3 linked regions of the Macaca fascicularis genome follow. The protein of the gene in region 1 interacts with the protein of each later gene in a pairwise test. Links are inferred from orthologs where the notes say so. Each region holds a gene or a part of one and is shown on either strand. Other genes may lie near its edges.

Region 1 (3,645 bases):
TCAGGGCCTGATTTAATGTTCGATAATGGGACCAGAGGGTCTAAGAAGCGATTATTGTCTTGCTGAATTCTTAGCTTCTGTCCCACAGTGGTGCGGGTAAGTACCACCTCAGCAGAGACACGTAAAAGTAACTTTCAAGTTAGGCATTAAGAGTACATTGTTGGCCAGGCGTGGTGGTTTATGCCTGTAATCCCAGCACTTTGGGAGGCCAAGGAGGATGAATCACCTGAGGTCAGAAGTTCCAGACCATCCTGGCCAACATGGCGAAACCCTGTCTCTACTAAAAATAAGTTAGCTGGACGTGGTGGCAGGCACCTGTAATCCCATCTACTTGGGAGGCTGAGGCACGAGAATCTCTTGAACCTGGAAGGTGGAGGTTGCAGTGAGCCAAGATTGCGCCATTGCATTCCAGCTTGGGGAATAGAGCAAGACTCCGTCTCCAACAACAACAACAACAACAAAAAAGAGTACAGTGTTAGTGCCAGGTGCGGTGACTCATGCCTATAACCTCAGCACTGTGGGAGGCCAAGGTGGGAGGATCACTGAGTTCAGAAGTTCGAAGCCAGCCTGGCCAATGTCGTGAAACTCCATCTCAACTAAAAATAAAAAGATTAGCCAGGCATGGTGGCAGGCACCTGTAGTTCCAGCTACTGAGGAGGAGACTGAGACAGGAGAATCACTTGAACCTGGGAGACAGGTTGCAGTCAGCCGAGATCACGCCACTGCACTCCAACCTGGGTGACACAGCGAGACTCCGTCTCAAAAAAACAAAAACAAAAACACAGTGTTAGGACTTTTCTGAATACTTTTAGTTTCTGTCAGTAATCACATACCTTTTTTTTGTTTTTTTTAGACAGAGTCTTGCTCTGTCGCCCAGGCTGGAGTGCAGTGGCGCGATCTCAGCTCACTGCAAGCTCTGCCTCCTGGGTTCACGCCATTCTCCTGCTTCAGCCTCTGGAGTAGCTGGGACTACAAGCACCTGCCACCACACCTGGCTAGTTTTTTTTGTTTTTTGTTTTCTTTTTTTTTTTGAGACGGAGTCTTGCTCTGTGCCCCAGGCTGGAGTGCAGTGGCGCGATCTCGGCTCACTGCAAGCTCCACCCCACCCGGGTTCACGCCATTCTCCTGCCTCAGCCTCCGGAGTAGCTGGGACTACAGGCGCCTGCCACCTCGCCCGGCTAATTTTCTTGTATTTTTAGTAGAGATGGGGTTTCACCGTGTTAGCCAGGATGGTCTCGATCTCCTGACCTCGTGATCCGCCCGTCTCGGCCTCCCAAAGTGCTGGGATTACAGGCTTGAGCCACCGCGCCCGGCTTTTTTGTATTTTTAGTAGAGATGGGGTTTCACTGTGTTAGCCAGGATGGTCTCCATCTCCTGACCTCGTGATCCACCCTCCTCGGTCTCCCAAAGTGCTGGGATTACAGGCGTGAGGCACTGCGCCCAGGCTGCCTAGTTTTTGTAGTTTTTTGTAGAGACGTGGTTTCGCCATGTTGCCCAGGCTGGGCTTGAGCTCCTGAACTTAAGCGATCCTCTCGCCTTGTCCTCCCATAGTGCTGAGATTATAGGTGTGAGCTACCACACCGGGCCTGTTACTAGTATTTTTAGTGTGAGTTTATCCCTGCCTCTAGCCTTGGGTTAGTCCTGGCCCGTGAGGAAGAGGGTCATGTGTCTTTGAGAGTTCTTCCAGCTTAGCTCTCTGGGTTCTGGCATGTATGCTGGGAGATTTTCTCTTTAGTTAGTCTTCACGCTGATAAAATTAGAGCTGTTTGGAACCTCCCCATGTCCTTTTAGTATGTCTGTAATTTGGCTACATGAACCCCTTAACAGTTTCTACCTCCTCCCGTGTTAGAAATTACCATGCTGGCCATGGGGGAATGCATTCTTATTTCCTTAGCAGAAGCTTAACTGTCTTCCTCTCTTCCTCAGGGAGGACGCGCCCTTGGACCAGGGGAGCGGTGTGATTCTGGCGTCCACCTTCTCCAAGTCTGGCAGCTATTTTGCTTTAACTGATGACAGTAAGCGTCTGATTCTTTTCCGTACAAAACCATGGCAATGTCTGAGTGTCAGGTATGAGATGCTAACGCTGGATTCTTAAGCTGTCGAATGCACACCTTGTTCTTGCATGCCTGTAGCAATAGTGACCATAACATGGTGATAAGTGATTGACATGGAGCTGCAGTTCGGTGCCAGGCACCGCTCAGTGCCGTATGTGTGTTGGCTGATCTGATCCTCACAGCAGCTCTGGGAGGGTGCAGGGGTGCTGTTCTGTTCCCCGTTGGGTGGTGAAGAGTTAGGTAGCAGACCTCTGGTGAGTGGGCTTGGAAGACAGAGCCGGGCCCTGTGGCTGGTCCCTCCGGCTGCAGTGTTGGTGCCGGTGCCCCTGCCTTCCAGGGCGGTCCTCTGTCGTTGTGATTAGCGGGAAGGAGGCTGTGGGCCTGCACTGGAGAGTGGTAGGGATTTGGGGTCTGTTGAGGGTGGGTTTAGTGCACATATGTCTGAGTGTCTGAAGAATGGATGGGGAGTGCATCCGTGTGGATGGGGAGGCCAGTAACTCTGGCAAGAACGGAGATATCGCTATGCCTTGCCCTCTTACCAAGCAAAGTCCAGAAAGGTTCTTCTGCCTTCCCCATTCCTCTTTTTTTATTTTTTTGAGATGGAGTTTCACTCTTGTTGCCCAGGCTGGAGTGCAGTGGTGCGGCGATCTTCGCTCACCACAACCTTGACCTCTCAGGTTCAAACGATTCTCCTGCCTCAGCTTCCTGAGTAGCTGGGATTACAGGCCCTCGCCACTATGCCTGGCTAATTTTTTGTATTTTTACTAGAGACGAGGTTTCACCATGTTAGCCAGACCAGTCTTGAGCTCCTGACCTCAGGGTGATCTGCCGGCTTCGGCCTCCCAGACTGCTGGGATTACAGGTGTGAACCACTATACCCGGCCTGTCTTTAAGATTTTTATTTCATCTTCTTTTTTTTTTTCTTTTTGAGAAGGGTCTCATTCTGTCACCCAGGCCGGAGTGCGGCGGTGTGATCTTGGCTCACTGCAGCTTCCGCCTCCTGGGTTCAAGCAATTCTCCCACCTCAGCCTCTCGAGTAGCTGGGACTATAGGTGCATGCCACCATGCCCAAGAATTTTTGTTTTTTGCTAGAGACAGAGTTTGACCACATTGGCCAGGCTGGTCTCGAACTCCTGATCTCAGGTGATCCACCTGGCTCAGCCTCCCAAAGTGCTGGGATTACAGGCTTGACCCACCGCTCCCAGCTTCATCTCATTTTCAAAGAGAAGAGTAAAAATCCAAATTCAGCTGGGCGCAGTGGCTCCCACCTGTAATCCAGCACTTTGGGAGGCCGAGGCAGGTGGAGTGGATCAGGAGTTCGAGACTATCCTGTCCCACATGGCAAAACCCCGTTTCTACTAAAAATGCAAAATTAGCCGGGCATGGTGGTACATGCCTGTAGTTCCAGCTACTTGGGAGGCTGAGGCAGGAGAATCTCCTGAACCCAGGAGGCGGAGGTTGCAGTGAGCCAAGATAATGCCATTACACTCCAGCCTGGGTAACGAGCAAAACTCCAAAACTCCATTTCAAAAAAAAAAAAACAAATTCTAGGTGGCATCAAAAGCAATGAATGCCTGTTCTGTCCTCTCTT
Region 2 (3,421 bases), on another chromosome or scaffold:
CAGGAGAGGTAAAAATAGCAGCATGGCTAATAAGTTACCTTTGTGTTTGATCTCTTTATAACCTGTTTTCAGTTCAAATTGACACATTTAAGAATTGTGTATTATTTTAGGAATACTGTATGTCTGAGTATTTAAGAATGAGTGGCATCTATTGGGGTCTGACAGTAATGGATCTCATGGGACAACTTCATCGCATGAATAGAGAAGAGATTCTGGCATTTATTAAGTCTTGCCAACACGAATGTGGTGGAATAAGTGCTAGTATCGGACATGATCCTCATCTTTTATACACTCTTAGTGCTGTCCAGGTAAATACTAATTAAAATTGCAATGATCTTGATAGTGTGTTCTCTTACTTCAGAGTTGGAAATTGAAACTATTAGGATTTGGTCAAAAAGTTTTGTTACAAGTGAAGCTGTCCTACAAGGTCAATGATGTAATGGCATGTATTAGCTGAATCCAAAGTTGATGTGAGTTTCTAAAATTACACTGAGACCTTGCAGGGTAAAATTTTTATCTTCAGTATGTGTAAATACTGTTAAATAGCTAAGTGGATCTGTTTGATTTTGGTATTAGTGAACATCTACCTGGTTTAAAGTCTTTCTGGTGCTGGGTGCTGAGATGGGAAGATCAGGACTTTGTGTGTATGTGAGTTAGTACATTTGAGTATCTTGGAATGCCAAGTTAAAGTTTATATGTAGAAAAATTATACTTTAAAGATTTGAGTTTTGATAATATCTGTAATTTTATTGAATAATAGGAGAGTCTGCATATTTGAGAAAAGGCTATATACAGAGACAAAAGGAGCGCTTGGCAACTTAAAAAGAGTTGAGCATAAGATTAGAATAAACCTGAAAGGGGTATTTACCTAATACTTGTCTTTATTGCAGATTCTTACACTGTATGACAGTATTAATGTTATCGACGTAAATAAAGTTGTGGAATATGTTAAAGGTCTACAGAAAGAAGATGGTTCTTTTGCTGGAGATATTTGGGGTAATGTCAGATTTAGTCCATTCTACCCAAAATACCAATATTAAAGTGTACTGGTTTTGCTAGTAACCAGTTTATAAGTTTTTCATCTTTTCAGGTCCCACTAAGCAGCTGGTCTAACTGGAGTTAATGGTCTGCTGGAACTTCCAGCATGCACTGTGGTAGTTATATCAGCATACAGGAGCACTGGAACAGAGGGGGCCAGTCTAAAAGATAAGGTAGGTGGAATTTTTTTTCCCCAATATTTGGTGGCTTTGTAAAGTTTTTTAAAAACTACTTGCTGGAAAGGGAAAAAAATTTTAAAAAAACTTTACAAACTTGCTGAATATTTGAGTGGAGGGAGGGAATAGAATTGTATTTGATAAATGTAGATAATCTCTGCTTTAGGGATGAACACAGTGCAGGCCAGAGAGACCAGCTGCTTCATGGGATGTGAAAAATCTGCTTTTATAAGGTAGGGTAAGTTTATTGCATTATTAGAAATTGCCTAATACTTTTGGTTCTATTAGTTTTCTTCTCTTTCTGGGCATTCTTTAAGCAGCTTAAGATAATTTGCTGTGACTTTTTTGTGGCAGGGTCTTGCTCTGTCCAGGCTGGAGTGCAGTGGTGCAGTTACTGCCCACTGCAGCCTTGACAGTCCACGCTCATGATCCTCAGGCCTCAGCCTCCTGAGTAGCTGGGACTGTATAGGCTCATACTATCACAGGCAGCTATTTGTTTGTTTGTTTGTTTATTTTTTGGTGGGAGGAGGCAGAGTTGCTGGGGTTGCAGAGCTTTGTTGCCCAGGCTGGAGTGCAGTGGTGCAATCTTGGCTCACTGCAACCTCCTCCTCCCAAGCTCAAGCAGTTCTCCTGCCTCAGCCTCCAGAGTAGCTGAGACATGCACCACAACACCTGGCTGGCTTTTGTATTTTTAGTAGAGATGGGGTCTTCTGGCCTCATGTGATCCTCCTGCCTCGGCTGCCAAAAGTGCTGGGATTTCAGGCCTGAGCCACAGTGCCCAGCCCCAGCTAATTTTTTTAAAAAGTTTTTTGTAGAGATGGGGTCCTGCTATGTTGCCTAGGCTAGTCTCAAACTCCTAGGCTCAAGTGATTCTCCCGCATCAGCCTCCCAAAGTGTTGGGATTATAGGCAAGAGCTACTGTGCCTGGTCAATTTGCTGTTATTTTTGACAAAGGAATTTTCTTGGGAAGTAAAGGCACTTCAGATTTAGCTTTCTTCCTGACTACCCTAAAGTTTTTACTTTAGGGTTAAAAAAAAGTAAAGCTTGAACTCAATTTAAAGTAGTAGTTGTGCAGAGTTTGTTTTTAGATGACTCATGTATGATTTGGTAACTCCTGCCTTGATTTGATCTCTTTTTATTGTAGGAGAAATTGATACAAGATTCTCTTTTTGTGCGGTGGCAACTTTGGCTTTGTTGGTAAGCTTTGAATATTTGAAATGATTAAAGTTCATGAATGCTCTGGATTTTTTTTTTTTTTTGTCTGATCTGCTGAATACTCTGGAATTTAACAGGTTTTTTTTTGTTTGTTTGTTTTTTTCTGTTTGTAGGGGAAGCTTGATGCTATTAATGTGGAAAAGGCAATTGAATTTGTTTTATCCTGTATGAACTTTGATGGTGGATTTGGTTGCAGACCAGGTTCTGAATCCCATGCTGGGCAGGTAATGTATTAACACAGATGAAAATTTATTGTCATTTTGGAAGCAAGTGTAGTAAAATAGGAAAATGGGTTATTTCGGTGTTTGTCAAATACACATAAAGTTAATGACTGTAATATGGCATCTTAAGAATTGCTTAGTTGCTTTCATTGCTTTGCTTTATATACTATATACTATATACCTTTCTCTGTCAGTGGATCCCTCTGACCTAAGCAAACATAAGTAGGTTTGTAAGCACCAAAACACATTTTTTTCCACTAATTTTTCACTAACCATACAGATAAAAAAAACACACACATTTTTCTTTCTGCCCTGAGATAAATGATGAACCTCCTTTCTTGTGTCAGAGAACATTGAATATGTGAATGGCTGCGATTTACTAACCATGAAGAAATTTTGACAGTAATATTTCAGTACAGAATTGCATACTAGTAACACTATGTTTGGATTTGTTCAGATAAGTGGTATTAATACGTGTTTGGAATTTTAAGTGTCAGATCGAGAAGAAAACCTTAAAATATAAAGTGGTGTTTTAATAATTTGAGTAGTTTTATCACTTTTACTGTCAAGGAATTATTATACACATATACTTTATGTCTGTAATTTTAGATCTATTGTTGCACAGGATTTCTGGCTATTACAAGTCAGTTGCATCAAGTAAATTCTGATTTACTTGGCTGGTGGCTTTGTGAACGACAGTTACCTTCAGGCGGGCTCAATGGAAGGCCAGAGAAGGTATTGTTTGATAAGCTCTGTTCTGCTGACTTTAGA
Region 3 (4,332 bases), on another chromosome or scaffold:
GTGATCCACCCGCCTCGGCCTCCCAAAGTGCTGAGATTACAGGCATGAGCCACCGGCCTTTTTTTGCATTTAAATCGCACCTCCAGGGGTTAGGAAGCTGTATGCAGTGGTGGTTACTTGTGTAGGTCGAGGCATGGCACTACACAACCTCTTGGGCCTGAGCTTCCCCTTGTTAAATTGGAATAACAATGAAGACGCCTTCCTCATAGGGCTGTCCCAAAAACACCACGAAGAAACTCAGGCAGAGTCCTCAGGGAGTGCCTGATCCCACATACGGAGCACCCAGGGGTTGCCCTCTTCATCCCAGAGTCACAGTTCCCACAGTTTCCTGGACTCTGCCCCTTCCCAAAATATCACAGGCCGCTAACACAGCACTACCTTCTGTCACACCCTAGTCCTGGTGGGCTAGGATGGGGGAGATATTAACAGCCAACTTTAAAATCAGACAGAAAAAAAGGTGCTATGGAGACAGGAAGTAATAATTGACTCCAGCTTGGGCAGGGCAGGCTGGGAATAGGAAGTAGATTGGGGTCTTGTTTAGGTAAGAGAAAGACTTCAGTGGCAGACAAAGGAGGAGTAATAAGATCGCTAGGGGGCCCGTGCCCAGCCAATCCACGCATATTCTCACTTAGGCCTTGCAATACCCCCAAGGCGGGTGCTAGGATCACATCCTTTACGGACGCGGAACCTGGGACAGGGATGCGCGAGTAGTCAGGGGGCCTCGCTAGATCGAACCTAAGCTGGGGAAGAGTATTTCTTGTATTTTTAGTAGAAATTCTCAGCCTCGGGGAAGAGTATTTCTTGATGAGGGAAGAGCACGGGGAAGACACTCACGCGCGCACAAACATGTGGGCGGCCGTGGTGTGCCCAGCGCCGTGCTGGCTTCTGGGGACTCCCAGTGTACAAGACGGATAAGGTACCCGGATGGGAAGTGGGAGCCAGTCACAAGCGCACCTAATTTCGGAGAGTGACAAGCACTCTGAAAAGAAAGAACGTAGGGCTGGGGAGGGGACTGGCCAATTTAAGCGGGCAGGAGTCTGTTGGGGGACGGAGACTAGCCTCAGGTCTAGGCCCGTCTTGGGTTGGGGACAGAAGCTGTGCCTAAGTGTGGTGCAGGATGCAACTGCAAAGGAGCGCTTCCGAACGCACTTGATGCTCGCCACGTCCCTGCAAAGTGCTCCCGCCCCCACTCTGTAGATAAGGAAACGCGACGCGCTGCTCGCCGGGCCAGGTGGGGGTGGGACGCTGACTCCCAGCCCAAGGCCTCCCCTGCGCCCCCGATTGCGCCTGCGCTGGAGTCCCCGGGGGCGTGGCCTCCCTGGTGGGCGGGACCGTGACCACCCAGGTGGGCGGTGCCAGTGGCTCTGGCGGCGGGGTTGGGCGCGCGTCCTGGCTCCGCCCTCTCCCGGGGAAGGGCCTCCGGCGGCGGCTTGGCCGTTGGTTTCGGGACGGAACGTTCACGCGGCGGGGGCGGGCGCGCGGGGGAAGGGTTTGCGGCGGCGCCGCTGCCGGCTAACGCGGAGGGGCGCCTGGAGGCGGCGTGGCGTCCGCTCGGGCTCCGACTCCGGTTCTGGCTCTGGCTCTGGCTCTCGCTTCTAGCTCGCGTGCCCGCGCAGTCCCCTCCCCGAGAACCATCCCCTTGCCCCGCCCAGCGTGAGGGGCGCGCGGCCGCCGAGAGACCCCGGAGGCGTAGCCGGCCGCGGAGGTGAAGAGTCGGGAGCGCGAGCTGGGACCAGCGTCTCGGAGGCGCCGCAGGTGAGGGGGCGGGGCGGGCCCGCGGGCATCTTCCTCAGGATCCGCCTCGGCCCCGGGGCCACCCCCAAGACTCCCTCTCAGCTCTTCCCCTGGAGCCCCTGCCCCCGAGACCCCCTCAGGATCCGTCTGCCCCTCCAGGCCCGCGAACCCTGAAACTCCCAAGATTTTCTCTGGACTCCGAGACCCCCTGAGGACCCCGGCCGCTAGTGGGCCCTGAGAACTGTTGGTTCCGGAAACTCTCGAGGTTCCCTTGAGACTTGCTTCCAGCAGCCTCCTCAGAAGCCCCCAGGCCCGGGGCATCTTCCTGGGGGGAGCCGTGGGTCCCAGTGTCCTTAGCCCCGCTAGACCTCGGGCCCCCGTGCCGCCCACCCTGAGGCTCCCTCTCCGACCTGATCTCAGGGCTAGGTGTCTCCAACTTGAGGTCCCTGGACCTGCCGGGCGTGGGTGGAAGTGTTCCTAGGGCTGGTGATAACTTAAGATGGTAACAGCGCGCCCGACGACCACCTCCTAAGCTGCGGTCCCCGCGCCTACAGGTGCAGGGCCGGGTTTAACTTTAAATGCTCTGCTGAGACTCAGGTGACCGCACAGGACAGTCTATAGATCAGGAGACCTGAAGTGGCCGAGGGCGGCTGAACCGGGGAGGGAGTGAGTTAGGGCACATGGGGACGCTTTTAGGTTGTTTACTCCTCTTAATGTTTTCATTTAAGGAACTTTTTTTTTTTTTTTTTTTGAATGCCTGATAGGCTTCAGGAATTGACACTGGAAATAGAGATGACACGGTCCCTGATGTCAGGGCCTAGGGACCCCGGGGCATAAGACAAGTAGGTCGGTTTTACCTGGAGGAAGCTGTGTCGCCGCTGACAGGGAACCCATCTGGGTGGGCATGGGACTCTGGGAAGGGGTGGGATTCTGGGGAAGGAGTGGGTGTTAAGGAGGGCGTTTAGGAGTCGTGGGGAGGAGGTGCTAAGTAGCAGGTGAGCTGATTCTTGAAGGTTGAGCTAGAGAAGTTTGCCAGGGTCGTTCCAGGCAAAGTTCCAGGGGACAGCCAGTATGTCACAAGGCAGAGAGGCTCTGCCATGGCACAGCACACAGTGTTGGAAGGCGGGAGGTGTGGCTGGAGCGCACCTAATGAAGGTGGCGTGGGAGTGAATGCTAACTGCAGAGAACCCAGCTTTGCACCCGGAGGCCCACCGTGCCCTTGGCCCTTTCTTGAACGACTGCCCCTGCCATTGTCCCGAGAAATGATCCAGCTGAGCTGAAGGAAGGTGGGAGGTGGCCGGGGGGAGAAGTGAGGGAAGTGTCTCAGTAGAGACCTGGAATGGGAGAAGCTGGCACTTTCGCAGAGTGCTGGGTTTGAGGTGGGAGCGACAAGGAGGAGGATGTGATTCTGAGAGCCAGTCAGGACCAAAGCATGCCCAGTTTAAGCTGAGTGGAGGGTTTGGTACTTCAAGGGAGTGGGTGACCATTGAAGGGCTTCGGGAGCAGAGGGGCGGGAGTTGGTGTGTTTTTCAAAGATCCATATGGCTGTGCTGGGGAGACTTTTTTGGAGGAAGCAAGACCCTATAAGAGATGGGGGTGACCTGGACCAAGGCGGTGGTAGTGGGGGACTGTGGCTTCCTGGAACAGGGCTAAGCTTCTGAAAGCCCGGGCGCAGAAGACTGGTTCCTCCTCTTTCCTGTCTGAGCCTGGGGACTGAACTTTTAAGTGAGGTTTTTGTCCTATTACCATAGGGCCTGTGGTCGTCTTAGTGCTTCAGGGTGACTGTGTGCATCACCATAGACTAATGACCACACAGGATGCAGTGGGGTAGGGTGAGTAGAGGTTGAGTCTCTGAGGTGGGCCAGGACCATGCTGGGCTAGGAGTCCTGAAGAGAACCCGTGTGTGGAAAAAACACCCAACGTGCTTTTTCTATTCTCTCACTCAACAACAATCAACAGAGTTGTCTTCTGTGACCAAATGTGGGGAGAGGTTTCTCCCTACCACTAAGTGGCCAATCGTTTGTGCAAGAGACGCCAACTGGGTATCTTCCAATTCAGTTCTGACACTGTCTACCTGGAGATAGCATCAAATCCCACAAGTTAAGGGCTCAGTCCCCAAGACTGCCCTCCACCCCTTTGGACACCAGTCACAAGCCTGGGCCTCTGGAACTTCTGATCCATCAGCTTCAAGTTGGGGTTCCCATGACCCTTCCTTAGGTTTGATTAATTTGCCGGTTGCGGTGGCTCATGCCTGTAATCCTAGCACTTTGGGAGGCTGAGGTGGGTGGATCACCTGAGGTCAGAAGTTTGAGACCAGCCTGGCCAACATGGCAGAACCCCATCTCTACTAAAAATACAAAAAATTAGCTGGGCATGGTGGTGCGCACCTGTAATCCCAGCTACTCAGGAGGCTGAGGCACGAGAATCCCTTGAACCTGGAAGGCTGAGGTTGCAGTGAGCAGAGATTGTGACACTGCATTCCAGCCTGGGAGATAGAGCAAGACTTTGTCTCAAAAAAAAAAAAAAAACAAAAACATTGCTGTAGAACAGCTCACAAACACTCATGTTTACTGGTTTGTTATAAAAGATATTGCAAAG

Evidence for each region.
Region 2: the proteins of WDR4 (region 1) and RABGGTB interact in binary tests that used the Homo sapiens proteins (3 or more experiments, as listed by UniProt). The two-hybrid records come from large-scale screens. The link is inferred for Macaca fascicularis from reciprocal best matches to the Homo sapiens genes WDR4 and RABGGTB.
Region 3: the proteins of WDR4 (region 1) and FAM118A interact in binary tests that used the Homo sapiens proteins (3 or more experiments, as listed by UniProt). The two-hybrid records come from large-scale screens. The link is inferred for Macaca fascicularis from reciprocal best matches to the Homo sapiens genes WDR4 and FAM118A.

What each region holds. Positions count from the first base shown.
Region 1 is NC_088377.1:4,158,170-4,161,814, forward strand, and holds part of WDR4 (tRNA (guanine-N(7)-)-methyltransferase non-catalytic subunit WDR4), read left to right. Parts: intron 1-1,926; coding exon 1,927-2,067; intron 2,068-3,645. UniProt on the Homo sapiens protein: Non-catalytic component of the METTL1-WDR4 methyltransferase complex required for the formation of N(7)-methylguanine in a subset of RNA species, such as tRNAs, mRNAs and microRNAs (miRNAs).
Region 2 is NC_088375.1:158,877,074-158,880,494, reverse strand, and holds part of RABGGTB (geranylgeranyl transferase type-2 subunit beta), read left to right. Parts: intron 1-110; coding exon 111-308; intron 309-426; exon of another isoform or gene 427-499; intron 500-890; coding exon 891-996; intron 997-2,358; coding exon 2,359-2,411; intron 2,412-2,542; coding exon 2,543-2,653; intron 2,654-3,259; coding exon 3,260-3,385; intron 3,386-3,421. UniProt on the Homo sapiens protein: Catalyzes the transfer of a geranylgeranyl moiety from geranylgeranyl diphosphate to both cysteines of Rab proteins with the C-terminal sequence -XXCC, -XCXC and -CCXX, such as RAB1A, RAB3A, RAB5A and RAB7A.
Region 3 is NC_088384.1:6,273,704-6,278,035, reverse strand, and holds the start of FAM118A (protein FAM118A), read left to right. Parts: upstream 1-1,445; 5' UTR 1,446-1,755; intron 1,756-4,332.